Linked DNA regions of Tamandua tetradactyla. The protein of the gene in region 3 binds, or shares a complex with, the protein of the main gene of each other region. Links are inferred from orthologs where the notes say so. Each region holds a gene or a part of one and is shown on either strand. Other genes may lie near its edges.

What was found.
Region 1: MEFV (region 3) and AIM2 share a complex: the UniProt entries of both Homo sapiens proteins name them as parts of the AIM2 PANoptosome complex. The link is inferred for Tamandua tetradactyla from reciprocal best matches to the Homo sapiens genes MEFV and AIM2.
Region 2: MEFV (region 3) and ZBP1 share a complex: the UniProt entries of both Homo sapiens proteins name them as parts of the AIM2 PANoptosome complex. The link is inferred for Tamandua tetradactyla from reciprocal best matches to the Homo sapiens genes MEFV and ZBP1.
Region 4: MEFV (region 3) and RIPK3 share a complex: the UniProt entries of both Homo sapiens proteins name them as parts of the AIM2 PANoptosome complex. The link is inferred for Tamandua tetradactyla from reciprocal best matches to the Homo sapiens genes MEFV and RIPK3.

The regions. Positions count from the first base shown.
Region 1 is NC_135330.1:12,187,540-12,195,459, forward strand, and holds the start of AIM2 (interferon-inducible protein AIM2), read right to left. Parts: upstream 3,138-7,920; 5' UTR 2,489-3,137; intron 1-2,488. UniProt on the Homo sapiens protein: Sensor component of the AIM2 inflammasome, which mediates inflammasome activation in response to the presence of double-stranded DNA (dsDNA) in the cytosol, leading to subsequent pyroptosis.
Region 2 is NC_135327.1:27,816,100-27,823,964, reverse strand, and holds the start of ZBP1 (Z-DNA-binding protein 1), read right to left. Parts: upstream 3,378-7,865; 5' UTR 3,222-3,377; coding exon 3,188-3,221; intron 760-3,187; coding exon 535-759; intron 1-534.
Region 3 is NC_135349.1:54,083,397-54,091,452, reverse strand, and holds the start of MEFV (pyrin), read right to left. Parts: upstream 3,111-8,056; 5' UTR 1,539-3,110; coding exon 1,223-1,538; intron 1-1,222. UniProt on the Homo sapiens protein: Involved in the regulation of innate immunity and the inflammatory response in response to IFNG/IFN-gamma.
Region 4 is NC_135340.1:30,328,354-30,336,598, reverse strand, and holds the start of RIPK3 (receptor-interacting serine/threonine-protein kinase 3), read right to left. Parts: upstream 3,036-8,245; 5' UTR 2,848-3,035; coding exon 2,831-2,847; intron 2,624-2,830; coding exon 2,483-2,623; intron 2,301-2,482; coding exon 1,991-2,300; intron 1,544-1,990; coding exon 1,398-1,543; intron 1,298-1,397; coding exon 1,251-1,297; intron 1,042-1,250; coding exon 877-1,041; intron 772-876; coding exon 704-771; intron 488-703; coding exon 140-487; intron 8-139; coding exon 1-7. UniProt on the Homo sapiens protein: Serine/threonine-protein kinase that activates necroptosis and apoptosis, two parallel forms of cell death. Necroptosis, a programmed cell death process in response to death-inducing TNF-alpha family members, is triggered by RIPK3 following activation by ZBP1.

The DNA.
Region 1 (7,920 bases), on a different chromosome or scaffold from region 3:
AGGAAGAGTGATTGTCTCTTCTGAATACTCCTTAAAAGTCTTCTGGTGATTATATTAAGCGTCACTTGTTACAGAAGACACTCCCCTCAGCTGATTGCAAAGGCAACCAGTTATGGATGCAGCCAACAGATTCATGAATTAAATCTATGAAATGTCCTCATAGCAACAAACAGCCAGCACTTGCCCAACCAAACAACTGGGCACCACCACTTGGCCAAGCTGACATATGAACCTGAACATGACATATGGTATGTGAATATAACAGATATATATATCAACTTAAAAAAAATAGAAAAAAGATCAAATGGAAGAACGAGTTTCAATAGCAGCAAAAGCTCAAAACATAGCATAGGAAGCAGAGAAATTAGATGAAAACTAAGAGGAAGAGTGATGTCTCATAGCTTTTAATTAGAGACATAATTGCTTCCTTCTTTCCTATTACTTTCTTTGCCTTTGGAATGCGTGTATTTTATCACTAGGTTCTGGGCAACCATTACATATATGGCTTGCAAACCTGCTCTGACAGGCTCCGAGAGCAGTCTCAGCCTGTAACAGAAACTATGTACTCCAGAAAGGGATATATGCAAGAAAGTAGTGTGCTCTGAGATTGAAACTGGGAAGAGGTTAAGATTTTTAGAATAGTGATTAAAAACTAGATAGTTCAGGCAATATAGAATCCTCTACTTTTCTTCCTAATACAGATTGTGTGCCAGGTTCCCTCATGATAAGGGTGGACCAGATTATAATTGACGGGGTTGGCAAAATGGATGATCAGCGCAGGAGAGTTAAGCCTGTAGACTACAGCTAATGTCTAAAGAGAATACTTTTCAATTCTTTAGATGGGGAACAGGAGGGGTGGCCATGGATGGACACAGAGAACCTTCTTTTATGGCTCCCTCAAAGGATTTTATCACTACTGCCACAGTTAATCCACCCAAAGAACCATCTTATTATGTTTTAGGTTCTCCATTTCCATTCTACCAAGGGAAGTTCTGAACTCTCCTCGGATCTAATGCCTATCACTCATGTGAAGTTGTGAAGAAGTCTTCCGAGACTTTAACGAGTTTATTCTCCCAGAAGGAGATTATAGGTAATAGTACAATTATAGTATTATTCTTTCATCAGTTATAACAAATGTACCATACTAATGCAAGGTGTTAATAAAAGGTGTTAATGATATGGGAACTCTGTATTTTCTGCAATATTTTTCATGCAACTTTTCTAATAAGAAAATTTTGCTTTAAATCCAGTTCCTATGCTTTTACAGATAACAATCTAAAGCATGAAAATACTGAAAAGTTGAAGAAGAAATAATGGGAAGAGTTACATTATGCAAATACTAACCAAAAGGCAGATAGTATAACTATATTACTATCAATCAAAGAAGACTTTGAGACAAATAGCATCATTAAGGATATCATTTCCTTACAATGATTAAAGATTAAGTTTACCAAAACAATATACCAATTCGAAACATGTAGGTACCTAACAAAATAGACTCAACAGATACAAACAATAATTGATAAACCTTCAGGAATAAATTGACAAATACACCATGATGATGGGAGATTATAGCAAATTTCTATCAATAAATTATAGCTCAAGTATCAAAAAAATCCGCAAAAATATAAAAGAGCTGAATAGCACAATTAACAATTTTGATCTGATGGAACACTTAGAAATATTTATTATATATTCAAAAGAACTATAAAAGATGCCTTGGCAAATTTCAAAGAATAGTTATAATATGAAAATAACTGGTTTCCCAAACTCCAGGAATTTAGCCATGACTGTGGGAAAACTGGGGTCCAACCTTAAATGGACTGAAATACATTTTCTGACCTCTAACAGACTAGAGGAAATAGAAATTACTGTGTAACAGAAAAATGTTATAAATCCACACTCCTTGCATATCTGAGTTTGTGGAATGAGAGTTTATCTGCTGTGGGTTTTTTTTTTTTTTAATTGCAAGAACTCTGTAAAATACAATTTTGTGCTCTGATGTTTTTAACCAAATATCACAGAATAGGCCTTTTGACACGCCATTGTTCTTGTATTTTTTCCAGGAATCGCTCCCCAGATCCTAAGTTTCTCTCTCTCCTTCATAAGCCAGATATCAAAAGCCCTCTTCTAAACATAAACTCATGTCAATAAGCAACCTGGAGGTCAACACACCCAGAAAACCAGAATTCCTCTTAGGCTCATTCTGGGTCAAGTCCTTGAACAATTTATTCCAACACTTGCTGCGGCCAAATGCATTTCCTTTTATTAAAGTTTTATTTCACCTTATGGTGAAATAAAACATGGCATCTGTTCCTCAGTCAACTGAAGGTTTAAGATCAGATTGCCTACAGCTCTTCTTTTTTGGATATAGTAAATACTAGCCTTTCTTCCCACCACAAAAACCCATAATCACTATTTCTCTTGATGTTCAGATTAGCAACTGATTCCCCTGAGATTTCTGTAGAAAATTTCCCAGGGGCCTTACCTTACTGGCTCTCTTCCACAACAGCCTAGCTGTGAATTCAGAGTTTCAGGGACGACTGTTAGCTAGAACTAGCTAGAGCTCTTCATTAGTTAGAATGGTGGGCCATGGTAAGAAGAGATTTTGAAAGACAAGGAAAAAGTGCTACTGGCTGTTTCACTTCGAAAGTTAACCAGCTCTTGCATTTAACAATGTGCAGGATTTTAAGGCTCCTCCCATCAAAGTTCTTAACTTTCTGTTTCTTGTCTTAGACAAGTCTGACCAGTTTTCCTCCCAACTTGAAATTTCAGCCAAAGACATTTTAGCATGAAGAAATGAAAGCAAATAGCTCCTTCTCTATTTTGTTTCCTAAATTTTAAGGAAGTTCACAACCTAGAGTACTGGTTCTCACAGTGTGGTCCCCGGGCAGGCAGCATCAGCGTCTCCTGTAAACTTTTAGAAGTGCAAATTTGGAGGCCTTACCTCAGAACTACCGAATCACAAACTCTGAAGATGGCATCCACAAACAGTATTTTAAAAAGCTCTCCAAGGTGATTCTGCTGCACAGTGAAGTTTGAGAACCACTGCTCAAACATTCCTTTTTGTCTTCCATATGGGCCAGTAGATTCCCATAGCCTTGGTTGAGGCTGTTTGTAATTATGGTTAAGTCATGCAGAGAAGTGAGTGAGCTGATAAATCCTGCTAGATAATCGAAGGAGAGGAAGTAACTGGAGGAGATATCGGTGATCATATTAGCATCATGTGTGCTCCATACCTTGGAGCAGGGCAAGGTAGAGCTGAGATAAAGTCTAGATAACCTAACCCAGGGTTTGGCACAAGTTAAGTGTCAGGTCTCCTACAACTATCTCCCACCACAAGTGCTTGTCCTGCATGGTGTCAACCTAAATGTAAAGTAAAAGAAAAGCTGACAGATTGTATTAAGAAATTTAAACTGATATTAAATTCATTCATTTATCTGTCCCTTCATTCAACAGATATTTATTTAGCATTTATGTGCTCAGCTTCATCTCCTGGAAATTTTAAGTAGTTATAGCAGGCTTTCTTAGCTCTCCATTCCTTAAGCAAGAGTTTGGAGGTAGTTATAGTTTTCTTGCAGATGTTTTTTGCCATTGCCTCGGATTGAGTCCTAGCAACTGTAATGAATACAACAGTACTGAAAAATATGAGTTTGCCCTTGGACATTGAGGACTAGTACTTGAACTGCAATATTACTATGGATCGTTTGGGCTGTCTGGTATGCACACGATCTGGAACTCAAATCCCGTAAGAAAAGAGCTCACCATGTCTTGTAGGAACTGAACTCGTCTTGGCCACTATAGTGATCATGCCTCAGGGTTAAGAACGCAGTCCCCATCAAGGCAGACTTTCCACGCAGACTTACAAATAAGCACCTATTATTCCTATCCTGAGTACAGACACTGGCAAAGCCAGCTATCTCAACTCCTCTGGACCCCCATTTTAGGCCCCATTCTAGGGTTCCAGGCAAATTGTAGTTGAACTACATGCATTTTGTATATATAAAATGTATTTTATAAAACTGGGTAGTGCCAAGCTATTCAGTGAGATACTGCTTCTCCAGATGAAACTGAAAGTGTGATTATTCATCTCCTTTCCTAAATCAAGGGATGGTTCTCTGTTTAACATAAAAACATGAAGGATGCAAAAGGTCAGAAGCAACTTTTCAGGCTCAGAACCCCTGATATAAAATGGCCTAGAAGTGAGGAAAAGAAAAAAAATCAAGGCCATGTTCATCTAGCTAGATTTCAGGATCAAGAGGACATTTTGAGCACACGTTTTAATTCCACCCCACCCTTCAAATGCCTCCTTTGTTTCCATCTATTTTATTACAAAATTTAAATCATAAATTTGAAAATAATTTGGGATTCCACAAACCATGCGCATATAATACAGCAAACTTAACTGATAAATGTCATATGTGTTCAGACTGCTCCACTGGCTGGCTGTTCCCCTGTCCCTTTTCCTCTCCTCAGCTCTCCCTATTCCCTGAGACACAACAATATTGAAATAAGACCATTCAATAACCCTACAATGGCTTCTAAGTGTTCAAGTGAAAGGAAGAGTCGCACGTCTCCCACTTTAAATCAAAAGCTAGAGCAGGGCAGTAGTAAATAGCCAAGAACTGTACAGAATTACTGCTGGGGGAATATCAGTGACTGGACACACAACATACACCAGCCTAGATCCAATGGAACAGCTGAGACCCCACACAGAGGGTTCTTCTCCCAAGCTGAAGAGGACTGCACCCCTCTCCCATGGGCATGGCAGGCTGGCTCCCCAAGGGGAAAGGAAACAGACTTTACTAGCAGCAAGGGCTTAGCTCAACCAATCTCCAACTGTGGAATTATTTAACAAATTCTGACTACTGGAAACAGGCCTCCAGCACAGATAAACCTGGAATAAGCACTAAAGGAACTAGGAGTTTTTGCCTCAGCAGCTAGGGGACAGGGTTGACAGGAAAAAAAAAACAAAAAACAAGCAAACAAACAAAAAGGTTTTTGAGTTGGACAGCACAAAATACTGGAAAAGGGCTGAACCCCAAGTAGAGAGGGCACATAGAGTCTGGAGATACACAGAGCCATGCACTAACTTAAGCTCTTGATTAACAAACCTGAGGAGCAGGAGTTTGGTTCTGAAAAGTACATTTTTTGCTTTTTTTTTTTCACTCCTTAACAGCTCATTAGATAGAACCAGAAGCACTCTCAGACTCCAGCACTGCTCCAGGCAAGGGTGGAATCAAGCTTGTCTGAGAGACAAAGTAACTAGTCAGATGAAAGAAGTTAATTCCCTAGAGGGTGAATCTTCCCCAAGAGGAAGGTGGGGCCCAGCTCAAGTGGAATTGCTCCCTCAAGGAATTCAAGCCCCAAGGACTGGAAAATTGAAGCAATTAAAGTGATCCTTCAACCTCTACTCTGCCTCAACCACACCCCAGCAGGGACAGTCCGCTGATATTAAAGGCACCACATCACTTTACACTGGTGGGAAGTGATGGGCAGACAAGCACCACATGCTGGGCAGGACAGGAAAAGCAGAGTCTAGAGGCTTCATAGGAAAGTCTGACAACCTGCTGGGTCTCACCCTCAGAAAAAACAGATGCTGGTGACTCTTTGCTCTTGAGACACGGGCCTATCTGGTCTGGGAAAAATCTGACTGGGGTCTGTAATATCTGAAGAGACCTTCCTCAGAAATGTAAAAAAGGCTCCATACAGGTAGGGCAAGAAACAGAAAAATAAGAACTGAAAAATTGTGATCAGTTAAACAGAACCTATGCTAGAGGTCTAGAATAAGTTGAACTGAATGTCAAAGAACAGATGGAGAACAAAGCCATTCAGCAAGAAAATCCTAGGTAAAGGAGTGAAAACAAGCTCCAGAGTAAACTAATTAAGGAAACCAAATACCTAGATGCCAGCAAAAAATAATGACTCATACCAGGAAAATCAAAGATATGACCCAGTCAAAAATATAAACCAACAACTTCAAATGAGATACAGGAATTGAAAACTAATTGAGGATGTTCAAACAGACATGGAAAAGCATCAACGAGTTTGGGGAGGATATAAAGAAAATATGGGGAAAACAAAAGGAAGAAACTGAAAGTTTGAAAAAATAAATGGCAGAACTTATGGGAATGAAAGACACAATAGAAGAGATGAAAAACAATGGAAACCTGCAAGAATAAATCAATGACTAAGCTGAGTGAGGAAGCATGCCGAAAGTGGAGCTAGGCCAAAAGCTAGGCCTCTTGCTCCAACAGCCAAGTTGTGAATACAAAGCAAAAGTTCTTAAAGGAAATTAAAAGTTCTACTCCAATGAGCACACTTACAAAAAGAAAGTGGAATAGCCTTATTGCTGATATGGAGAGAGTTTTGGTGATCTAGATTGAAGATTAAACTAACTACAACATTCCCTTAAATTAAAACCTAATCCAAAGTAAGGACCTTATTCTCTTCAACTGTAGGAAGGCTAAAAGAGTGAAGAAGTGGCAGAAGAAAAATCTGAAGCTAGCAGAAGTTGATTCATGAGGTTTAAGGAAAGAGGACATTTTCATTACATAAAAGTGAAAGGTGAAGCAGCAAGTGCTGATGTAGTAGAACCCACAGCAAGTTATTCAGAAAATCTAGCTAAGATCATTGAAGAAGGAGACCACTCTAAACAACAGATTCTAAATGTAGACAAAACGGCCTTCTACTGGAAGGAGGTGCCACGTAGGACTTTCATGGCTACACAGGAGAAGTCAGTGCTCGGCTTCACCACTTCAAAGCAGAGACTGACTCTCATTAGAGGCTAATGCAGCTGGTGACCTTAAGTTGAAGCCATTGCCCGCTTACTATTCCAAAACCCTTAAATCTCTTAAAAGCTATGTTAAATCTACTCTACCTATGCTCTACAAATGAAATAACAAAGCCTGGATGACAAGACATCTGTTTACAACTTGGCTTATTTGATATTTTAAGCCTGCTTTGATACTACTAATCAGAAAAAAAAAAAAAATTCCTGCTCACAGACAGTGCACCTGGTCACTGTATGACCTCTGTGGAGACATACAATGAGATCAATGTTGTTTTCATGCCTGCCAACATAATATCCATTCTGCAACCAATGGATCAAGGAGTAATTTCAACTTTCAAGTCTTATTAAAAAATTCATTTTGTAAGGCTATAGCTACCATAGCTAACTATTCCTCTGATGGATCTTTTTTTAATGCAGTTTTATTGAAATATATTCACATACTGTATAAATACCCAAAGTGTACAATCAATGGTTCACAGTTTCATCGTATAGTTGTTCATTCTTCACCACAATCAATTTTTGAGCCCTTTCATTATTCTAAAAACAAAAATAAAAAAGAACACCCAAAACCTCTGATAACCCTTATTCCCCACTGTTCATTTATTTTTGTCCTTATTTTTTCACTCATCTGTCCATGCACTGGATAAAGGGAGTGTCACCACAAGGTTTTCACAGTTACATGGTCACATGTAAAAAATATAAAGTTACACAACCATCTTCAAGAATTAAGCTACTGAATTATGTTCAACAGTTTCAGGTACTTTCTTCTAGCTATTCTACTACACTAAAGATAAAAAGGAATGTGTATATAATGCCTAAGAATAACCTCCAGAATGACCTCTGACTCTATTTGAAATCTCTCAGCCACTGAAACTTTATTTTGTCTCATTTCTCTTCCCCATTTTGGTCAAGGGGCCTTTCTCCATCCCATGATGCCAAGTCTAGGCTCATCCCCAGGAGTTATGTCTCATGTTGTCAGGGAGATTTACACTCCTGAGAGTCATGGACCATGTAGGCAGGAAGGCAGTGTCCTTACCTGCTGAGTTGGCTTGGAGAGAAAGGTGATATCTGAGCAACAAAAGAGGTTCTCTGGGGTGACACTTAGGCATAATTATAAGTAGGCTTAG
Region 2 (7,865 bases), on a different chromosome or scaffold from region 3:
TGCTGTGTGGCTTTGGTGGAGTTAGTTAACCTCTCTGAGCTTGATTTCCTTTCCCGTAGAATAAGGAGAGGAACAATAGCTCCCTCCCACCCAGGGTTGTTCCGAAGGTTAAAACGAATGAGTCTGAATCTCTGAGCACAGCGACAGCCCATTTAAGTATTTACCAAATGTTAGTGCTGTTTTTCCATCAGCTGTAAAACTGGAAAGTTTGCATCAAGTGTGATGCAAACTTTGTTTTATTATGATTCATTCTATCATTGTTATCATTATCACTTTCTGTCATTATTTGTAATGTTTTGTTGCACACCTCCTGTGCACTGGCACTGGGTTTGAGCCCTTTGCTTTTAATTCTCTCCCAAAAAGTAGCCCTATAGTCACCTCCACTGAGCAGAAAAAGAAATCAAGCACAGTGACTGGGTATCACGCCCCCTAGTGGCAGAGCTTGGATTTGAACCCAGGTCAATGGGGCCCAAATGGGACTTGTCCGGGCTGAGGCTGGCTCCCCCTCCCCCTCCCCCCGGGATGACAGGTTACCGCCGCTGGGCTCTGCCAGCGCTGCGGGAACTGCCACTTTAGACCCAGTCCTGCCCAAGTGCCAGGTGGCAGGGGCCGCCAGGGCGACTTTGGACTCCTTTTCCATTTGGTAGAGAAGGTGGTTGAGCTCCTTCTTAGGCACTTGGCACTCCTTCACCAGCTGGGCAGTCTTCACGGGGGAGCCCGCGTCCCGCAGCACCTGCAGGATCTTCCGTTCCAGGTCCCCTAGGAGAGAAAGGGGCAGGGCGGTCTGGGAGAACGGGGGCCCGGGCAGAGGAAGGGCACAGAGGCCCGGGCAGCCTCTGCCCGCTGTGCGGGGCAGGCAGACTGCTCCCAAACAGCCTTGGCTGGTGGCCTGGGAAGGGAGGGGCTCCAGGCAGGGCCCTATGTGAGCGCCCCACGGCAGGTGGGAAGGCAGCTTTCAGCTGTTCTCAGGCAGGGGGAAGGGGCACGGGTGCTGGGGGGAGAGGCCGGCAGTCCCCGCCTGTCACGCCCCACGACGTGGCATTCTCTGATCCCTGTTGTCGTCCTCCCTGCGGAATCCGCCCCTCTGCGTGGTTTTGCCAACTCGGCAACCCGGTCGATCGTGACTCCCCCAAGCCAGGGCCCTGGCAGGCGTTCGGGAATGATCTTTCTCCCAGTGCCCATGTGACTGTGGTGTCCTGGAGAGACCCATTGCCAGGTTCCCCCTTGAATCCCTGCACTTCTCTCTGCTGTACCCACAGCCCAGGTCTCTTGCCTGAGTGACAGCAGCGGGCTCCTGGCCAGAGCCCCCATCTCCAGCGGGGTTCCCCTTGGCTCAGCAGCCAGAGTCTGATTCCAGCTCCTCCCACAGCCTGAAAGACCCACACACTCCAGCTCGGCCTACTGCCCCACCGCCCCCAGTTTTGCTCCACGCACCAACCTGACAGTGCTCCTTTCAGTCCCTCTCACCCCCGGGCCTTGGCACGTGCTGTTCCCTTTGTCAAGATCACTCTTTACCCCGCCTCCAGAGCCTACTCGACATCCCAGGTCTTGCTTAGATGCCATCTCCTTTGGGAAACCATCCTAGACTGCTGTTTATATGTGGGTCCCTACAGAGTGTCCCCACAGACCCCCCCACTGCAGTGGCCTGACTCACCTTGGTACCATCACGGACTAGCCTAGAGCCAAGGACGGTTGAATGAATGAGTTGTGAATGAGTGAATAAGTGAGTAAGTGAATAAATTTATCCTCCACCTGTACAGACATCTGCCTGATGCCCCAGGGGCAGGTCATGAGCAGCTCCCCTGGGCCAGTCCGTATGTGCCTCAGTTTCCTGCTCTGAGTTTAGTGAGCCCTAAGCAGAACACTACGAGGCTCATGGAGGGACTCTCAGAGGCCCCTGCTCCTCCTGGGGCAGGTTCTTGAAAATCAAAATCAGCTGCTCTGCAAGGAGGAATCAGACTCAGGGAAATGAGTAGAAGGATAGTAAAAGGCAGAAACAGGTCAGGGGGCCGTGACAGGGGCAGGGACAGGGACAGCACAGCAAGAAAGCCGGTTCAGGGCCGCCCAGCATGTCACCAGGAAGTTTCTTAACCCCAAGAACCCTGAGGAAGTTCAAAGCAGGGTCCTTCAGAAAGACCCCACCCCTGGGTTCAGGTAAAGAGCAATTAGAAAACCTGGAAGCACCACCTCATCAACCCCCAAATCACAGCCTCAGTGGGCCAGAAATCCCAGCAAACTGGCTGCAGTCTTGACAAGAGTTTTGCTTCTTAAAGAGTCTGCCCAGCAAGTTGGCTCAACTTCCCTCTTCCCCAGCCCCAACCCTGACCCCAAACAAGAGGTGGGGTCAGAGACGTGGGTGAAGGAGAAGGCACCCCGTTCCAGCCTGCTGTGTTGCAAAATGGACCAGATGTAAATGATGAGATAGATGGAAAATCAACCGGAGAAGAAGGAAGATGGGAGAGGCCAGCGCATTCCCAACCCCTGGAAGGATGAGCTCAGGGACCAGCCGGGGCTCCGGGCTGCACCCCACCGAGCCCCCTCCCAACTCTCTCTTTTCTTCCTTTTTATCCTCTGGTGATGGGTTTCCTGGGTTTGAGCCCTGGTTCTGCTGCCTACTGGCTGTGTGGACGCTTTGTGCCTTGGTTTACCCTGTCTGTGAAATGGGGCTAATAACAGCATCTGCTTCAAAGTTTGTGGCAAGGATGGAATGAGGTCACCCCAAGCAGCACCCTCAGCCCACAGGCCACGGGCGCTTAGCAGACAGCCCCAGACAACTGCCCAGTACAGTGGATTTGTTACTCTTCTCAGAGTGAAACTAACTGAGGGGATGCTGGAAACGGGAGAAAACATACACGTGGGTAGTTCTTTGTTTCTCAACATGAGTATGAAGAGGGGGTGGTTCAAATCCTGCCTCTAACGCTAGCCGGCTGGGCTGCCCCGAGTCACCCTGCAGCTCAGGAGCCTGGCCCCGTCAGCTTGTCTGCTCGGCAGGAATCCTTGCACTCCCCGCGCCCAGCCTGAGGGCTGTTTGGGGGAGCCCTGCCGTAGGTGCGCCCCCAAGGCCCTGTCCTGCTGCTCCGGCCTTTGGTTCCTGTGCCACAGTTACCTTCGTGATCTGGGCCAGAAAGAGAAGTGCATGTCCCCTCCCGGGAGCCCCGCTCTCCTGGGAAGGAAGAACTTACTGTACCTTTGGTGGCTGTGTCCGCAGCGGCCTGGGCCATGCTGACAGCAGCGGGATAGAGACTGCGGGGAGCTGGCACTGGCCTTGGGAGTGGGTGCCGGGTCACGGGTGGGAGGTCAGCTTCAGCTGCTGCTATCAGCTCCTCACACTGCAAATGGAGGCCTGCCCCCTCTGTTTCCGGCCAACCCAATGAAAAAGAAAATGAAACTTCTGTGGTTGACTTTCTAAGTAAATAAAACTGCAGGATCAACCAGCAGGGCAGATGTTCACTGGGTGGGGCTGGATCGGAGTGAGCAGCCCTGGGCCCTTGCCTGAGCCGCCTGCACACCTGGCTGCTCGCCCCGACCTCCCTAACCCCGGCACCCAGGCTGAGACACCTGGGTGGGTGCTCACATGCGTACCGAGGTGACAGCCCTCTCGAATGAGCGCCTACAATGTGCTTTCCGATCTCCTGTGCTCCTCTATCTCACCCAGACTGGCTCTGTCCTCTTGTCTCAGAGAGGAGACGAGGCACAGGCCAGAGAGGTCATAAAGACAGTACCTGGCAGAGACAGCCTGGCTGCCTCGTGGTTTGTCTTCCAGCTGTGTTTCCTGAAGTCCTGTGTGAACCACATTCAGCCCACAGAACCACATCAGGCTCCCAGCCACGCCACAGAACCTACCGAGTAATTTGGGGATCACAGAATAGAAAACCACCCCCAGGGCCCTTATTGCTCGGTGTTGGGGAATGCGAGCCTGGAGCCCGGCTGCTTGGGTTCAAGAGCAGTCCCACAGTTTGCTGGCTGTGTGATCTTGGGAAAGTTATCTAACCTCTCTGGGCCTTGGTTTCCTCACCTGTCGAGTGGGATTAATAAAAGTACCTAATTCATTGGGTCACAGTGAAAACAAATCCGTCCATCCTAAGGTGCCAAAATACATTTCTCTCCGAAGAGAAACTATTGCGTGTACAAATTCTCAAAGGAGCCAATGACCCCAAAACAGTTCAGAGCCACTGTTCTCTTCTAGTTTCTAGAAGGGGAAACTGAGATCCAGAAAGGTGAAGGGTCTTGTGGGCAGCCGAGAGGGTTAAGAACTCAGCCGTCACCTCACACTTACAAGAATGGCTGCTATTAAACAAATTTGTAGGATACTACAAATGTTGAAGAGGAGGTGGAGAAATTGGGACTCTTATGCACTGCTGGTGGGAATGTATAATGGTCCAGCCACTATGGAAGATAGTTTGGCAGTTCTTTGAAAACTAAATATCATGTTGCCCTATGACCCAGTAATACCACTACTCTGTATATACTCAGAAGAGCTGAAAGCAGTGACACAAACAGACATTTGCACACCAGTGGTCATAGCAGCATTACTCACATTTGCCAAAAAATGGAAACAATCCAAGTGTCCATCAACAGACAAGTGGATAAACAAAATGTGGCACATACATACAATGGAGTATTATGCAGCAATAAGATGAAATGAGATCCCAAAGCACATGACAACATGGATGAAACTTGAGGACATAATGCTGAGTGAAATAAGCCAGACACTAAAGAATACATACTGTATGATTTTGCTATTATGACCTCGGTAAAGGCAAACTCAGAGGCTTATAATATAAGATATAGGGGACCTAGAGATACATAGAAGTTAGAGATGGGTGAGCAGTTAGTGAGGTTGAATTTAAATGTAAGGGAATGGCAGTTCATTAGTGGGTTTATAAGTAATACTGCCGTACTGAGGGTGAACATGATTGAAAGGGGTCGTATGGAGCCACGTATCCCACTGATTAACACTACAAATATAAATAAGTTCTTGCATGAACTACTTCAAAGGTATGAATCTTGTACAAAGGGTCAATAATAGAGGGATATAGGGGGACATTGCCATTGCATACTATGGTCTATACTTAACAGGAAGACATCAACAGTCCCACAGCAATGCCAGGGGTAAATAATTGGGGGGTGGGGAGGACAAGAGTTAAGGGAAGGTTTGGATTTTCCATTCGGTGAGTGTTGTAGTTTGCTAGCTGCCAGAAAGCGATATACCAGAAACAGAATGGCTTTAAAAAGGGGAATCTAATAAGTTATACGTTTACAGGTCTAAGGCCAAGAAAATGCCCCAATTAAAGCAAGGCTATAAAAATGTCCAAATTAAGACCCCAAGAAGAGGTTACTGTCACTCAAGAAAGGCTGATGGGTTCAGCGTTTTGCACTCAACTGGGAAGGCATGTTGGGAATATGGCAACATCTGCTAGCTTCCTCTCCCCGATTCTTGTTTCATGAAGCTCCCCCAGGGGCATTCTTCAGCTCCAAAGGTTGCTGGCCTATGGACTCTGTACTTCTCTCAACCTTGTGGCTCTGCTAGGCTCTGCTGTGGCTTTCTCGCGGCTCTAAACTGTTTCCTCTTTTAAAGTATTAATGGGCGGAGTCACCACTCCATGGAGCTATCTTATCAAAAGTTACCACCCACAATTGGGTGGGTCACATCTCCATGGGAACAATCAAAATGCTCCCAACCAGCAATACTGAATGAGAATTAAAAGACATGGCTTTTCTGGGGTCCACCACAGATTCAAACTGGCACAGTGAGGATGTGTCTATTGGTTATTTTTCTCTTTGGAGCAATGAAAATTGTCTAAAATTGAGAGTGTTGATGATCCTGCAGTGAAGTGAGGATAATGTGAAGCAGGGGTTGTTGACTTTGGACATTACCCATGATCCTCAATGGATGGAGGTGGCTGAAGGGTACACTGAGAACGGAGAGCTGTGGTATGTACATGTGATGGGATATCGTATGGCTACGGAAAGGAATGCAGTCATGCAGTGAGGTGAATGAACCTTGGGGTCATAATGTTATGCAAAATAAGCCAGAAACAACAACAACAAAATATTGTACGGTCTCTTTTAGAAAATACTTATAAGAAAATTAGGGCTTAAATTGTAAACTCTTACAGCAGTCACATTTAGTCTAGAGCTGTAAATGTTATTTCTAGGTTTTGAGATGCTGTGGTATTTATGTATAACCTGGTATCTCCCTGGAATTTGGGCAACCTGTGTGACACCTGAGACTGAGTTGGAATTCTGCAGCTCTGCAAGTCAGCAGTGCTACCTACAGCAACTGTTCAAGAAGCTAAGAAATAAAGAGATCAGGCTTCAATTAGAGATAAGAATGAAGCCAAGCTGGTCAGGACTAAGGTAAATCAGAATACAGGGGTAAGGGTGACATTGCATTTTAGAACGTCACCTACTATATGAGACCAAAGGAAGGGAGGTTTATTTTGTCCAAAACTTACATTTTCTGTAGCACATAATCTAACTCAACCTGTTTGGATCACTCATTTAAACAACCCAAACATATGGAGCCCAGAAAGGAAATGAGAGCTTATAAGACTGTATAGCTTGACATAATACCAGAATACAATCCAGAATATGTTGGCAGATAATTAAAAAGTATTGGCAAGGGCGGGCCGTGGTGGCTCAGCAGACAGTTCTCATCTGCCATGCAGGATACCTGGGTTTTTTCTTTGCCATGCAAAGAAAAAAAGAAAGGCAGGACATATATATTGAAAAAGTATTGGCAAGTGGGGTGCACAGGTGGTTCAGTGGTAGAATGCTCACCTTCCATGCAGGAGACCCAGGTTTGATTCCTGAACCATGCCCCCCCCCAAAAAAAAGTACTGGCAAAGCCCCTTGAAAAACTGGAGAAAACATATGAAACTATTAAGCTTTACCACTGGGGAAACCCCTGATATTGTGTCAAACATTAGGGACTCCCTAGTCAATAAGCCAAGCCCTTGATCTTGAGGTTTGCTCTTATGAAGCTTATTTCTGTATCAGAGACGCTAAGCCGACCTATACTTATGCCTAATAGTCACACCCAGAGAACCTCTTTTGCTGCTCAGATCTGGTCTTTCTCTCTCTCTAAACCCAACTCTACAAGGAAAATCATTACCCTCCCTGCCAGGCAGGACATGACATCCAGGGGTGAAAGTCTCCCTGGCAACGTGGGACCTGACTCCCACAGATGAGTCTGACCCTGGCAGCATGGGATCGACAACGCCTTCCTGACCAAAAGGGGGAAATGAAATGGAACAAAATACAATATCAGTGGCTAAAAGAGTTCAGGTGGAGTCAAGAGCCTATTCTGGAGGCTACTCCAGCTTCAGCTAGATATTGCTCATTACCACGGTTTGCCAAACTCCAGCCAAGATCATTCCTATTAACCCTAAAGGACACTTATGATTTTATCTGAGAGTCTACAAAGTTTCAGGCACTAAGATTACTTCCCAGTAACCTACAACCTCCAGATGGGCACCTAGGCCAGATAAGTCCTGAAACCCAGAGGGGCCAGCCTCTCCAAGAACATCAACTAGTTCCATCCCTCTATCCCATATTATCAACAAGAAGTTAGAATGGCCATAGTCCAAATATCCCTAAAGATTGGGAGAAGGATCAAAGGAGAGGGAGGAATTAAAACAGAGAAGATAGGGTTTAACAAATGAGTATGACTGCTGAAACATTATGTTGATATTTCTTTGAGCCTCCTGTGTCTTGGAGCAGCTAGAAGGAAAAACCTGACGCTGTGGATCTGTAACCCATACCAAACTCTGGAATCTGTGTTGTAATTACTTGCTACAATGTACTTTGAAATGTATGGCTTTTTTTGTATTTATATTTCACAATTTAAAAAATGTTTAAAA
Region 3 (8,056 bases):
AGAAAAGAAAGGCTTTGTTCCAAGGTTTGCTTGAAAATAAGTTAATTTTTCAGCACAGTCGGCCAACAATAATTTAAAATTCGGTTAATGGTATATTTCAATATGTATTTGTTAAATTCTAAAAAAATCCCTGAAATACCTCCCAGAAGCATAATTTGAAAACCACTACTCTATGAAGGAAATACAGATAACCTGTAATAATTAGCACCTTAATTTTCTGTCTGAAGAAGTTCTTATTAAAATTACTTAAAGCTGTTGAAAATAGTTTGCCGTTGATTTTCCAGGAGAACAAAATTACCAAAACTGGCTCCGGAACTGGTAAGAAGCCCTACAGATTTTAAAACATAAAATATAAAAAATTTTACTCATCAAATTACACAAGACTCAGGTAGTTTACAGTTGAATTCTATCACTCCTTCAAGGAACGGAGAGAAACCTTGCGATCTTAAACTGTTCTACCTCATAGAAACATGTCTCTAATGTAGGCTTAAAACCTAGAAAAAGAAAAATTCAAACACCAAAGGTTTTAACTGACCTGGTATTAGGCCCCAAGAAAATCTCAAAAAAAAAAAAAACCTTTAATGGCAGATGTGAATGGCTTTAATCCCAATGAAATAAAATTAGAAAGGTACAACAAAAGGGTGTAGAACAAGGTGGAGAAAGAGAGAAACGAAAATATAGAAGAAGGGAGGGAGGGAGGGAAAGAAAGAAAAGAAAAGAGGGAAGGAAGGAAAGAAAGAAGGGAAGAGGAAAGAAAGGAGGGAGGGGGGAAGACAGGGAGAAAGGAACGAAAAAAGGAAGGGGTGAAGAATTAAGAAATCCTCTTAGAATTTATAAAGACCCTTTTAAAGGGTGTTAAAGAACTCAAAGCTGAAACGAGGCGGCCAACAGTGAGCAGATCACATCCCAACCCCTGACAACAGGCTTGGTTAGCAAGCCCTTTTTGCTACCTGGAGGTGACTTGTCTGCACACGTGTTAAATCGCAAGTCAAGGGACGATTTCTCAGCCTCCAGAGTCCTGGCCAGGAGGAGCCTCAGGCTCTTTACCAACCCAGGTCCCAGGACCCAGGAGGAGAGAGGGGTTGGCCTGGCCAAGGTCCACCGAGGGTGGGGAGACCTGGGATTTCTATCTCCCGGGTCTGGAGTTTCCAGCGGACCAGCTCCCAGTCCGCCTTCCCAGTTCCCACGGACAGCAGCGGGTGGGGGCTGGGGCCTGCCTTACCCTTCCCCGAGGCCCTGAGGAGCTCCTCGGCCAGGAGGCGCTGGTTGATGGCCCGCAGCACCTGCATGGTCAGCCGCAGAGCGTCCTCCTCCCCGTAGTGGCTGATGAGCAGAGAGGCCACCTTCACAGGCCCGGCCATCTGCAGCAGGCCCCGGGGGATGCGGGGTTGCTCCTTCTCCAGGCTGGTGTTCTGCAGCTTGAACTTGAACTTCTCAAAGTCATAGGGCACCAGGTCCTCCAGGGAGAACAGCAGATGGTCACTGGGGGTCTTGGCCATGGCGTGGACCAAGGAGAGGCCACAGCCGGCCAGGAGCATAAGAGGCCCCTTGTCTGGAGCCCGGTGTCTGAGCAAGAAGAGCCGACTTGAGAAATAACGGAAAAGGCACAGGAAGTGCACCGAGCTTTGGTGGGAACTGAGACTGAAGTCATGGTGTGTCAACACCGGCTGGTGTTCTATGTCTCCAGCTCGGAGGGGGCAGTGTCCTGCAGCCACGCATACCTCCAGGCCCCCCAGCTTTCCCCTCTGCTGCCTAGGCTGCAAAGAGGTGGGCAAGGCGGTGATGGAAGGCCTGGCTGGGTGCCATTCCAGGTTCTTGGTCCTAGGGTGGGCACTCAGATGCTTTGCTCTCTCTTCCTTCCAGGACACAGAGCTGGCGGAGGAGGTGGGGCTGAGAACAGAGCTCCCGGTCCCCCTCTGGCCAGCTGTTCTCCTCCAGACTCTTGGGGTTTCATGGGCCCTCCAGGGCCAAGGGCAAGAGAAGGGACAGCAAATACAGGCCTGCAAGCTTTCCCTGCCCTGTCCAAGAAGGCTGCTGAGGCAGGCAGGACACTGCCAGGAGACGAGCCCTGGTGGCACCTCCGTTGATGCAGTTTCAGCTGTTTGGACCTTCTCACCACGCCAAGGCCTTGAAGTGCAAAGCCTGCGACCACCATCTTGATTTTTTGCTCCTGATTCTGCCTTCACTGGAGGGCAGGGTGGACATTCCCTGGAGCCCCAGGTCACTCTTCCACGCACATCTACCAAACTCAAGTGCCAGGATGCTGGAGTGCGACAGTGAAAACAGACACCGGGTCCTCAAGGGAGTGCAGGCCAGCGTGGAGCCCAGAGGTGGCCCGGACGTCAATGGAAACTCCAGGTGGGGTGGGTTGCTCTTGATTGCCTGCCTCTGTCTTTTTGCACGCCTTGGTTTTTTTACCCAACTTTTTACTTTTAAAAATTATGCAACAACAACAACAAAAATTTCAAAAAAAAAAAAAAACACAAAAATTTCAAAACTACAGAAAAGTTGAAAGCATTATACAATGAACATAACACAACATGTTCTTTACCTGGATTCACCAATTGTTTGCATTTTGCTATATTTGCTGCTTTTTCTTCTCTCTCACACACACACATACACATGCACTTCTTCCCCCCCCAACCATTGGGCAATAGAGAACATTTTCACACATCACTCCAAATGCCCTAAATATTCCCAAGAACTAAGACACAAGGATATTACTTTAAATCCTCATAATACAATTATTACACTCAAGTGTAATATACAATTATAACATTGTTAACAGTACTACAATCAGTCCATAGTCAAATTTTGCCAATTGTACTAATAGTGTCTTTCATAGCTTTTTTTTTCCCAATCCAAGATCCAGTCAAAGACCATGCGTCACATTTAGTTGTCATGTCTCTATAGTCCCCCTTTAGCTAGAATACTTCCACCCTTCCCCAGCCTTCTTTTTTCTTCAAGATATTGATGCAAAGTCCCCTTTGGGGAATGGTGAGAAAGGAGGAAAATTCAACTTCCCCAAGTGAAGAATTCCTGATATTCTCACAAGCAGTGGGGACAACCAAAGCAAAAGGCTGAGCCCTCAATCTTGGGATATGTTCATATGAACCTTAACCCCACAGAGGATAGGCTAAGCCTACTTAAAATTAGGCCAAAGAGTCACCCCCAGAGAACCTCTTCTGTTGCTCAGATGTGGCCTCTCTCTCTCTCTCAGCCAACACGACAAGCAAACTCATTGCCCTCCCCCTCTCTATATAGGACATGACTCCCAGGGGTGTGGATCTTCCTGGCAATGTGGGACAGAAACCCTAGAATAAGCTCGGACTCAGCATTAAGGGATTGAGAAAACATTCTCGACTAAAATGAGGAAGAGAGAAATGAAACAAAATGAAGTGTCAATGGCTGAGAGATTCCAAACAGAGTCGAGAGGTTATACTGGAGGTTATTCTTATGTATTAAATAGACATCACCTTGTTAGTCAAGATGTAATGCAGAGGCCGGAGGGAAGTGCCTGAAAATGTAGGGCTGTGTTCCAGCAGCCATGTTTCTCGAAGATGATTGTATAATGATACAGCTTTTGCAATGTGACTGTGTGAGTGTGAAAACCTTGTGTCTGATGCTCCTTTTATCTATAGTATGGACAGATGAGTAAAACACATGGATTAAAAATAAATAAATAATAGGGGGAACAAATGTTAAATTTAGTAGATTGAAATGCTAGTGATCAATGAAAGGCAATGATAAGGGGTATAGAAAAAAATACGGGAAACACAGGCTAAAATATATTGGATAGATGGAAATACTAGCAATAAATGAGAGGGAGAGGTAAGGGGTATGGTATGTATGAGTTTTTCCTTTTCTCTTTTTCTTTCTTTTTCTGAATTGATGCAAATGTTCTAAGAAATGATCATGGTGATAAATACACCACTATGTGATAATATTGTGAGTTATTGATTATATACCAAGAATGGAATGATCATATGGCAAGAATGTTCCTGTTTGTATGTTGTTACATTGAAAAAAATAAAAGACAAAAAAAAAGATATTGGTGCTTTTGAAAATTCTATTCCAAGAAGAATATCCCTCAAGTGAGATTTATCTGATTTTTTCCTCCTTAGACTGAAGATAATATTCAAGTGTCCTCAAGGTCTTCCCATTATAATATTTTTCTTTGTAATTAATCAATAACCTGAGAATGTATAAATGTCTTGTCCTCCCACAATCTTTCATCAGTGGTCTTAGCATCCACTGATGATCTCTTCCTAAATCAATTATTACAATGGTGATTGCAGATAACGATATTTCTATCTCTTAGTTGGCATTATTTGCATATCCTGGTTTAAACTTTTTGTCCTTCTCAATGAAAAGATGTTTTATTGCTAATACAATTACCCTCTGTAGCAGGTTGAACCATGCCCTCTGAAATGATATGTTCAAATCTAAACCTCTAGCACCTGTGAAGGTCACCTTGTTTGAAATAGCATATGTGACCATGTTATGATGAGGACATACTGGTGAGGTTGGGCCGTGAACCCAATGGCTGGTGTCTTTATAAGAGAAATGAGAAGGATATTGGGATAGGGACATAGAAACACAGAGGAGACACACAGGGGAGAAGGCCATGTGAAGGTGAAGGAGATTGGAGTGATGCCACCACAAGCCAAGGAATGCCTGAGGCCACCAGCAGCCGGAGGAGGGGAGGAAAGCGTCTCCCCTGAGCCTTCAGAGGAAGCACGACTCCGCAACACCTCATTCTCCCACTGGCTTCCAACGCTGTGGGAGAATATATTTCTATGACATTAACTCATGCAGTTTGGGGTGCTTGGTGAGGGCAGCCCTGGGAAATGGACACACCCTCTAAGGAGGGCTTGCTCTGTACCAGGCACTGCTTGCTTTCTCTCCATTGTCTCTTAAAATCTCTGCAGCGTCCTGCAAGGCAGGGTTTCCACCCCTGTTTCACCCCCAGGAATCACAGCTTAGGCTTAGGGGCTTCCCCAGAACCAGGATCCAAACTCACTGTCTTAGCCACTCCGTGATATTGTCTCCCTGCATGACAAAAAATGTTTACTTTACTGTTCATCACTACCCATGGATGTCCGTTTTTTGGTTGACCATTGATGCTCAAAATGGGCCGTGCTGACCACTCCCACGGGTCACTTACAAAGGTCTGAGGCCTGGCTGGGAAAACAGCCCAGGGCAGGGCCCGTCTGGGATCAAAGCTGCCCTGAGTCCTGGCTGGTTGGATTTCCCTTATTGCCCAATGCAACCCTTTTGGTTTGTTCTCATAGCTGACAGCACCCAGTTCACTGGATTCTGCTGGGAAGATGACCCCCAAACCCAGCATCTGCCCGAAAAATGCATGAACCCAAAAATGCACATTTATGGTGCAAGCAGTAGATGGGTAAAACTCTCAGGTTGGGTGAGGAGGGGTTTCATGGGTCCTCACGGGCACCCGGACGGTCCCTCTACTGGACAAGCAATGACAAGCCCGTGCAATGAAGCATGGGTTCCCGTGGGTGCCTGGGGACCCGGATTCTGTCTTGACAGGTCAGGAAAGTCTTCTAAGCTGAGACTAAGCACCTACAGAATTGGGTAGGAAATGGGGCTTCCCAGTGCAAAGCAGGATATTTTGAAATCACCAGGCCACCGTTTGCAACACAGGCGATTCTGATGCAGGGACTTCTTGAAGGCAATGTTTGCTGGGTGAAGGGAAGTTTTTTTCCAAGTGTTGAGTTTCCAGTAACTCGGTTTTTTCCCAGAAATTTTTAAAATGAAGAAACATGGAAAGAAGGTTATAACCCTCGTGTTATATTTTCAATGTTTGATGTCAGAATTAAAGTGGGACTCTTATTCTAACAATTAAAGTGACAGACTCTTTTTGTGCACGTCTCTGTGACTGTGGCGTGGCCTTATTTGGAGGGGAGCACGATGAGTCTAAGTTCAAGGCCCTTTGTGAAGATGGGCCTGGATGGAGCTGCTGCCAAGGATGAAATCTGTTTGCCTCCTAAGTCATCTGCACATCCGCCTCCATGCCCGGACAGCAGGGACTCTTACTTTCTATGGCATTCATTTCTGCAGCATTTTGATTTCTGATGAATACAGATTACTTTTATAATCAGGAAAAAAAAAGGATAATTTTAAAAGTCTATTATAATTAGCTTAGCCTCTAAGGGGATATCCATCTTTGTACCCCCAAACCATCGTGATAAAGGAGGTTTATGGTATTTAGATGTAATCACGTAAAAATATTACATTTAAACATAATGTTACCAGTAGTGCATGTAAGAAATGGGGGGAGGGTAGCGGAAGTTTTTTTTTTTCTTTCTTTTTTTGTTGGCTGGAGAGAGAGGCCACATCTGAGCAACAAAAAAGGCTCTCTTGGGGGTGACTCTTAGGCCTAGATTTTAAGTACACTTGACCTAACCTTTGTGGGGTTAAGTTTCGTATGAACAAACCCCAAGACTGGGGGCTCTCCCTATAGCTTTGGTTGTCCACACTGCTTGTGAGAATATCAAGAATACAACTTGGGGAAGTTGAATTTCTCCCCGTTCTCAACATTCCCCCAAGGGGGCTTTGCAAATACTTTTTCACTCACTGGTCAAATCACTCTGGGATTCATCGGGGCATCACTCTGGACAAACCAACAAAATCTCATGTCCTACCTGAGATTCCAAGTACTTATGGCATTCAATCAAACTATCTACATAAGTTATATTAGGAAATGCACTAGTCAAAATATAAATTTTGTACCAAATAAACATTTTTTTTGCTTTACTCTCACACATGAGTTGAAATTTTTAAATATTAATTACCATCTATTTCCAACACCCTGCAGTAATGACATTCCTTTGTTCTTCCTCATGCAAAAACATTTTTAAAATTTGTACATTGTACATTTCAGTACTATTGTACACTCTAGGCATTCCTAGATTATACCATCTTAATCTTTGACATCTATCTTTCTTTCTGATTTCATTTATGTCCCAGCCCTCCTCCCTCTATCATTCTCACATGCAGCTTCATTCAGTGTTTTAACACAATTATATTACAGTTAGGTAGTATTGTGCTGTTCATTTCTGAGTTTTTGTATCCAGTCCTGTCGCACAGTCTGTATCCCTTCAGCTTCAGTTACCCAATATCTTACCCTATTTCTATCTCCTGATGGTCTCTGTTATCAATGAAATATTCCAAGTTTATTCACTAATGTCAGTTCATATCAGTGAGACCATACAGTATTTGTCCTTTTGCTTTTGGCTAGTCTCATTCAGCATAATGTTCTCAAGGTCCATCCATGTTGTTACATACTTCATAAGTTTATTCTGTCTTAAAGCTGCATAATATTCCACCATATGTATATACCACAGTTTGTTTAGCCACTCGTCTGTTGATGGACATTTTGGCTGTTTCCATCTCTTTGCAATTGTAAATAATGCTGCTATAAACATTGATGTGCAAATGTCCGTTTGTGTGTTTGCCCTTATGTCCTCTGAGTAGATACCTAGCAACGGTATTGCTGGGTCATATGGCAATTCTATATTCAGTTTTTTGAGGAACCGCCAAACTGCCTTCCACAGTGGTTGCACCATTTGACATTCCCACCAACAGTGGATAAGTGTGCCTCTTTCTCCACATCCTCTCCAGCACTTGTCATTTTCTGTTTTGTTGATGATGGCCATTCTGGTGGGTGTGAGATGATATCTCATTGTGGTTTTGATTTGCATTTCTCTAATGGCCAGGGACGTTGAGCATCTCTTCATGTGCCTTTTGGCCATTTGTATTTCCTCTTCTGAGAAGCGTCTGTTCAAGTCTTTTTCGCATTGTGTAATTGGATTGGCTGACTTTTTGTTGTTGAGTTGAACAATCTCTTTATATAAATTCTGGATACTAGACCTTTATCTGATGTGTTGTTTCCAAATATTGTCTCCCATTGTGTAGGCTGTCTTTCTACTTTCTTGATGACGTTCTTTGAGGCACAAAAGTGTTTATTTTTGAGGAGATTTCTGACATAAATTTGGAGTTGAAAACAAGGGATCCCATTATGATCCAAATC
Region 4 (8,245 bases), on a different chromosome or scaffold from region 3:
CAGCCCCCTGCAGACAATACAGAGCTTTTCAGGCCTGTTTCCCCCACTATACATCCCCCTCAGCCCCAAATTTTGTCCGGCGAAAGGACAAGATTCACAGGAAGTCTCAGTCCATTCCCTAGACCCACCGATGTCTTACCTGGTTTTCTTGGGGCCAAGGACCTGAGGCCCAGTTCGAAGCGAGGCTGGGCATCTGGTTTATGAAAGATGAACTCTCTGGAGTTTGGGGAGGTCGGGCATTTGAATCTGAGGATGTCCCTGCTGACCTGGCTTCTTGAACCTGCTCTTCCTTTGGCTTGATTCCCTCAGTAAATTTGACATATTCTTTAGGATCAGAGCTGGGGTCCTCCTCCAGGTGCAGATTGTTCAGGAATTCAGAGATCATAGGATCAACTCCAGCACCATCCATCTCCATCCCTCCTGGGCCCAGTTTTGGGGCAGAACCCCTTCTGTTGCTGCCCCTGTGCTCAGACAGAAATGTCCTCACCTGTAGGGACAGGAAGAGCTTGTCATGCACGGAAATGGGAGAACCAGAGTGTAAAGCAGAGGAAGTAGTCTTGGGTCATATTCTGCTACCTGGGAATTTGCAGGTAAGGTGGGGAGAGTGGATATACAGAACTGTCATTAAAGGGAAGTCACTGGTGGCCAAGGAGACCATAATGTGCTTTCCCTGACCAGCCCCTGGGTGGGGTTGGGGGCTCACCATGGAGACAGAGGCATCCATCTCATCTTGCACCTGAAGGATGACTGCAGCCATTTTTGGTTGGCAGTCTGGAGAAATGGCAAAATGGCTAGGTGAGCTAAACATCATTCCCAGGGAAAAGCCTGCAGTGAGAGCCAGGCCTGCCCCTCGTGCTAGCTGAATGGTTAGCTCACCCTGGAAGGAGGGCCTGTCACTGGGCTTGTGGCTCCAGCACTGCTGCATTAATTCTTTCAGGTCTTCCAAGCCAGGAGTCTTGGGCCCAGGTTGGGGCAGCTCTCTTAATGAGGGCCGGCTCTGCTCCTCACACACTAATATCTTCATCAGTGTTGTCTTGGGCACTGGGGCAAAGGGAAAGGGGGAGGGAAGAGATATGAAGGGTAACCTGCTTCATCATTAAAATCACCAGGGAATATGGTCCAAGGGTTTTGTGGGGAGGGGAGGCATGAATAAGGCAATGTGCAGAGATGAGCAGGAAGGGAAGGGCTTGGGGGTTTGAGGGAGGAGGGCATATGGAGTTAAGGATCCTGGAGTCCACCTAGAGTCTTACTCTCAGCTTCTTTTCCAGCTAGCACTTCCCACATGAGGATCCCGAAGCTGCAAAAGACACAAACCTGAGGCTTGGCCCAGCCACTGGCAACACCCTGCTCCCAGAAAGATGTTGAGATTTGGGATATGTTTGGGGTGTGTACCTTACCTGAAGACATCACAGGCTGTGGAGGGATTCTGGTTTACATCAGCCAACAGTTCTGGGGCCAGGTAGGCTAGGGTGCCTATTGGATTGCTGAAACTTTTTCCTGACTTTGAACTCTTCTGAAATGTGGATAGGCCAAAATCTGCCAGCTGCAAAGGAAGGGAAAAAGAAGGAGGTAGGGGAAGGCATCAGGCAGCCTCCAATGCACCTTCCTGCTCACTCTACTCCTAACAGTAGATGCAGCTCCTGCCTTGTAAAGGGTGTGTGTAAGGTCAGAGGAAGGGGAGGGTCAATGGGGCCATTGGGTTGGAAGACTATGTCTCCTACTGGATGGGGCCAGATCAAGGCCTGAGTCTTTTGGGCTAGGTCAGTCATGGCTCTTTGTGGGGACTGACTGAAGGGGCGGGGATGCCTGAGGAAATAACTGGGGTGGGTCAGGATCTGTTTCCTGGTAGGACAGAGGTGGAAGTTCCTGGGTGGGCCTCGACCCCTGAACAGGACTGTGTCTGCAGGGCTCCAGTGAACTAGGGCAGCACAGGGTCTGTGTGACCGGCCCAAGCTGAAGCAGCTGTGGGGCAGGATGGGTGTGGGCTGACCTGAGCGTGCAGCTCAGAGTCCAGCAGGACGTTGGACGGCTTGAGGTCTCGATGCAGGAGTACGGGGTTCAGGCTGTGCAGGTAACACATCCCCAGCACCACCTCCTGCAGGAGGCGGCAGAGGAGCGGCCAAGGCCGAGGGCACCCGGGTTGCAGCAGCTCTGTGAGGGAGCCGTTCTCCATGAACCGAGTCACCAGAGCCGGCCTGCACCCATACGCAGACTTCAGTTTCTCAGTGACCCCCAGCAGGAGCAGCACAAACTGGTTACGCAGACTGCCCATGGCCTTCACCTCCTTGGATAACGTCTCCCTACAGGCCAGGAGAAGGGTGCTGAGTGGGCCCAGCATCCTGGAGAGATTTTTCTGCTCTTCTCCCCTTCCCCCCAATCCCTTTCCTCCCCGCCCCCGCCTTCCCTCTCCCAGGCTGCAGGGCACAGCATCTCGGGCCTCCTAGGTCAGGACCCGGTGCTGTCCGACGCCGACGTCACTCACGAGTTCACCAGCTTGAGGGCCACATCGTAGCCCCACTTCTTATGTCGGGCCCTGAACACCACGCCGAACCCGCCCTGGCCGACCAGCGTCGGGTTTTCCAATTCCTCGAAGGACACCTTGGGGGCAGGGGCACCTGTGGACCTTAATGAGGTTGCCTCGTCCACCAGGCGGCCACGGTCCCACATCGGCGCGGCGCCCTCCCCTCCTCCGTGCAGTAGCCCTTCCCCCCGCCTCTCCGTCTGTCCCGGCCTGGATTCGGGGCGCCACGGTGCTCCCGAAGGTGTCCGCCCGGCGCCCTACTTGCTGGACAGTCAGTGTGCCCGGTCGACACCCCCACGCCCCTCTCACCATATTCCGCTAGACATCAGGCTGGGCTTCTGGAAGTCGTGACCTGCAGGGATGGAGGTCTTCGGGAGCCGGACGTGGGGGGAAGGAGGGGAGGTCGGGGGCTGGGAAAGGGTCAATTTCTGGGTCCAGCAGGGACTCTGCCTCCAGGGTTTCTTCCGCTACGCTACACGGAAGGAGTGAGCACACTTCCTTCCCCGACAGGCTCGCTGTCAGAGTCCCGCCCCGGGGGTGGAGCAAAACTAAAGCTACTGCAGTTTTTGTTTTTTCTAATTAGTGTTTCCTCGAACACCTGCTGCATGCCAGGTCCTTATTAGGGGTCACTGGGCGTTTAAGGTGCTGCAGAAGGTGTCGTCACCTTCCAAGAATCCCCAGTCAGCCCTCAGTCCTACCGGCTGGGTCTCTCCCTTCTCCCAGGAGATTCCCAGCTCCACCACTTGCCAGGCCTGCAGGGCAGTGCTTAGAAGGGTTTTATGGGCCTGCTGCTCAGCTCTCCCACAGTTGCCCTAAGATCATAGCTAAGACTTCTGTAATACTCACCCTGTGCCAAGCACACATATTAGCTTGTTTAATTCTCACATTAACCATAAGGGGCTAGGCACTGTGTTTATCCATTTCTTTTTTTATGGAAGAGGAAACTGAGCCACCTTAAGTTCCTCGCTCAAGCCAGTAGGAAACTGGCTCCTGCCTCTTAACTGTCAAGTTACTTTATTTTCACGTAGCTTCAGGGCTGTACCCCTCAGCTGGTGGTGAAAGTGTCTGGGGAAGGTATGAAAGGTCCACTAAGACAGTGAAGGGTCCCCATCTGTAGTCTGCCCAGTCCCTGATAGCTGCTCTTGCTGAGGCAAGCACCCAACATTGGTAGTGATCTGTCTGCTCTGTAAACTGTAAACTGGGACTCCTGGAGCTGGTGAGACCAAAACCCACTCACTCCCAGGGCATTGAGGTCAGTCTAGATGAATTAGCTCAGCCAGAGAGTTGCTGACATTGTGGTGTCCACTGCAGTGGAAACACCTTAGAGTCCTCCCTACCCTCATGCCAACTTCTCCATGCAAATCCCCTGACCAGTTCGTATACCTGACAAGCACATGTTCTGGGCTCCAGGCTCTGAGAATGTTGGAATTCAGGAAGCCTTAAGTATTTAGGTAGCCTGGCCATGGATAGAGATTGTAGGAAGACTCAACCCTGGAGGGCTCACCTTGATATGCACTTTACATCCTGTCCAGTGGTCTGTGGGCTCTGTTAGTTGGAGAAGAAGTGCCCAGCAGTTAACTGTGGCTTCCAGAGCAATTGGAAATTTCAAGATGTACACCATGGTTTCTGGTGGGATTTGCCCATGCTTTGGAACAATTTTATTTTAGGAATTCCTTGAGGTTACTTCTTAGACCATAGTTTCTTTACAAGACAGTATATGGTAAGCACCCAATAATTATTGGCTAAATACAATGACTGAGTGAATGAATGAACAAGCAAAATTTGGGGAGCTTCCTTAAGTCTCTGATCATTTCAGCTACAGCTCCATATGCATTGGGAAGAGGGTAGATTGGGCTCCTTTATGGTTTGGGGACTCTCACTTGCACAGTTGATGAAATTAGTCTGAAACAGACTTTATTATAGAGATATAATATTGAATCCAAAGACAAGAATAACAGCAGGTCCTCAAAAAAAAAGCCTCGAGTCAGAAGCTGGGAGCCGTGCAGAACCACAGTCACTCCCTTGGTGATTCTTTTTTCAGGAGAAGACCCTGGGATCAATAGTTCCACTTAAAAGGAGCAGGCAGAAGGGAGTTAGAATTGTGTTTAAAGACCTCTTAATGCTTGAGTCTCTTTAGATTGGGACAAGACTTTGAGGATAGGGAAAAGCTACTGTGGGACACTGGGGTGAGGTGGAATCAGGGTTCTGTTACTTTTTGACTCAAAATAAATGGAACCCCTTTCAGAGAAGGAGGGGTGAGTAGCGGAGCTTAGAATGAGTGCCTTCTGCTTCCAGTGGTGATGTGGTGGTGGTGGTGAACCAAGAGAGAGTTGATTCCTGATTTTGGAGCTCTGGCTTTTCCTGAGGCTTGGTTTTCTGACCCCAGTAGCCCCAGGCTTTGGGGGCAGTGTTAGATGTTTTTCATCCTCTTTGGTTCTCTGCTCCTGATAGTTTCTGATTACCTTTAGCCCATGCCTAGTGCCTGGTCTGATTCCCAATCCCTGTATATAAGATGTGTGTATTTGGGGTGGGGGTGGGCAGGAGGGTGTGATCTGTCTTTTTGCATATTCTAATACTAACTGATGCTCATCTCTTGTTAGATTAAGAGGATCTGGTTATACATAGCAGGAAAGGAGAATTGCAAACCAATATCCCTTATGAATATAGATGTAAAAATCCTCAACAGATTACTAGGAAACCGAACCCAATGGTACATTTAAAGGATTATACACCATGAGCAAGTGGGATTTATGCCAGGAATGCAAAGGTGGTTTAACATAAGAAAATCAATCAGTATAAAACACCACATAAATAGAATAGAGGAAAAGAACCCACATGATTATCTCATTTACTCAAGAAAGGATTTGACAAAACTCAGCCCCATTTCTTGATAAAACACTCAGAAAAGTAGGAATAGCAAACTTCCTCAACATGCTAAAGGACATAAATGCAAACCAATGACTAATGTTGTACTCAATGGTGAAAACTGAAAGCTGTTCCCCAAAGATTGGTATGCTGGTTTGAAAGGATTTATGTACCCTAGAAAAGCCATGTTTTAATCCGAACCCCATTTTGTAAAGGCGGCATTTCTTCTAATCCCTATTCAGTACTGTATGCTGGAAACTTTAATTAGATCATCTCCACCGAGATGTGATTCAATCAAAAGTGAGTATTAAATTTGATTAGGTGGAGACATGTCTCCACCCATTCCAAGTGGATCTTGATTACTTTACTGGAATTCTTTAAAAGAGGAAGCATTTTGTAGAAAGCTTCAGAATGACATAGCCATGAGAAGCAGAGAGTCCATCAGCCAGTGACCTTTGGAGGTGCCTCCTGGGGCGCTTCATGAAATGAGCAGCCAGAAGAGAATGCTAGCAGACTTTGCCATGTGCCCTTCCAGCCAAGAGAGAAACCCTTAACTTCATCGGCCTTCTTGAACCAAGGTATCTTTCCCTGGATGCCTCAGATTGGACATTTCTATAGAATTTCTTTAAGTGACCTTAGGACTATAAACTTGCAACTTATTAAATTCTCCTTTTTAAAAGCTATTCCATTTGTGGAATATTGCATTCCAGCAGCTAGCAAACTAGAACAGTTGGGAACAAGACAAGAATGCCTGCTTTCACAACTGCTATTTGACATTGTACTGGAAGTTCTAGCTAGAACAATTAGGCAGGAAAAAGAAATTAAAGACATCTAAATTAGAAAAGAAGAAGTAAAACTATCTCTACTTGAAGATTATCTTACACATAGGAAATCTCAAAGAATCCACAACAAAGCTACTAGAGCTAATAAATGAATTCAGCAAAGTGGTAGGGTACAAGGTCAATATGCAAACAATCAGTTGTTTTTATATATCAACAATGAACAATCTGAAAAGGAAATCAAGTAAAACAATTCCATTTATTTTAATATCCAAAAGAATAAAAATACCTGGGAATAAATTCAACAAAGGAGGTGAAAGGCTTGTACTCCCCAAATTACAAAACCTTGCTGAAAGAAATTAAAGAATACCTACATATATGGAAAGACATCCCATGTTCATAGATTGGAAGGCTTAATATTGTTAAGATGTCAGTACTACCCAAGGCAATTTACAGATTCAACACAATCTCAATTAAAATTCCAACACCCTTCTTTGCAGAAATGGAAAAATCAATCATCACATTTTGTATGAAATGACAAGGAGCCCCAAATAGCCAAGTCAATCTTGAAAAAGAAGAATAAAGTTGGAGGACTTATACTTCCTGAAAGTCCTGGGCTGGGCGGAGGTCAAAGATGTGAAGCAGAGACAGAGACATGACACTGGCAGTGGGAAAAGCAAGTTTTATTAGCAGGGGAACACAAAGAGAGGTGATTCAAGAAATCAACTCCTGCCTGCCTGGATTTGAGTAGACATTTTTAAAGGGGGTTGAGGGTAGGGTTAGGTGGGTTTTCTTTGGTGAGTTCTTGCAAGTGAGGGATTTATCACAAGAATACAGCTGCTGGAGAGGATCAGAGAGTTTTGAGATGTTGATTCTCTGTGGCAGTAGTTTTCATCCTTGCTTGATTCTCTGGTTCAGCTCTCACAATTCTCAATTTCCAACTTTACTACCAAGCTGCAGTAATCAAAACAGTGTGGCATTGGTTGGCATATGTTGACCAATGGAATCAAGTAAGTGAGAGTTCAGAAATAAACCCACAAATCTATGATCAATTGATTTTCCACAACAGTGCCAAGTAGTTTTGACAAAGGTGCCAAGTCCATTCAATAGGGGAAGAATAGTCTCTTCAACAAATGGTGCTGGGAAAACTGGATATTCATATGCAGAAGAAAGAAATTGGACACCTAATTTACACCATATATAGAAGTTAATTAAAATGGATCAATGCCCTGAATATAAGAACTAAAAACACAAAACTCTTAAAAGAAAATGGGGGGATATCTTCAGGATGTTGTATTAGACAATGCATTCTTAGAGATGAAACCAAAGGCACGAGCAACAAAAGAAACAGATAAATTGGATTTCATCAAAATTAAAACTTTTGTGCATCAAATGATATTATCAAGAAAGTGAAAAGACAACCTGCAGAATGAGAGAAAATAGTTGCAAATCATACATCTGATAACAGTTTGATATCCAGAATATATGAAGAACTGCTACAACTCAACAACAAAAAGACAAACAATCGAATTATAAAAATAGACCAAGGACTTGAAAAGATATTTCTCTGAAGAAGGTGTACAAATGGCCAATAAGCACATGAAAAGATGCTCAATATCATTAGTCATTAGGGAAATGCAAGTCTAAATCACAACAAGATACCATTTCACACCCGCTAGAATGACTACTATTTTAGAAATGGAAAATAGCAAGTATTGGCAAGGATGAGAAGAAATTGGAACCTTTGTGCATTATTGGTGGAAATATAAAATGATGCAGCTGTTGTGAAAAGCAATTTGGGCAGTTTATCAAAAAATTAAACATAGAATTACCATATGACCCAACAATCCCACTCTTCGATATATAACCCAAAGAATTAGGGACTCAGACAGGTAGTTGTGTGCAAACGATCATAACAACATTATTCACAATAGTCAAAAGGTGGAAACAACCCGATTATCCATTAACCTGTTTGAATGAATAAACAAAATGTGATATATGCATGCAGTGAGATATGAGTCAGTCATCACAAGGATTGAAGTTCTGATACCTGTTGTAACGTGGATGAACCTTGAAGGCA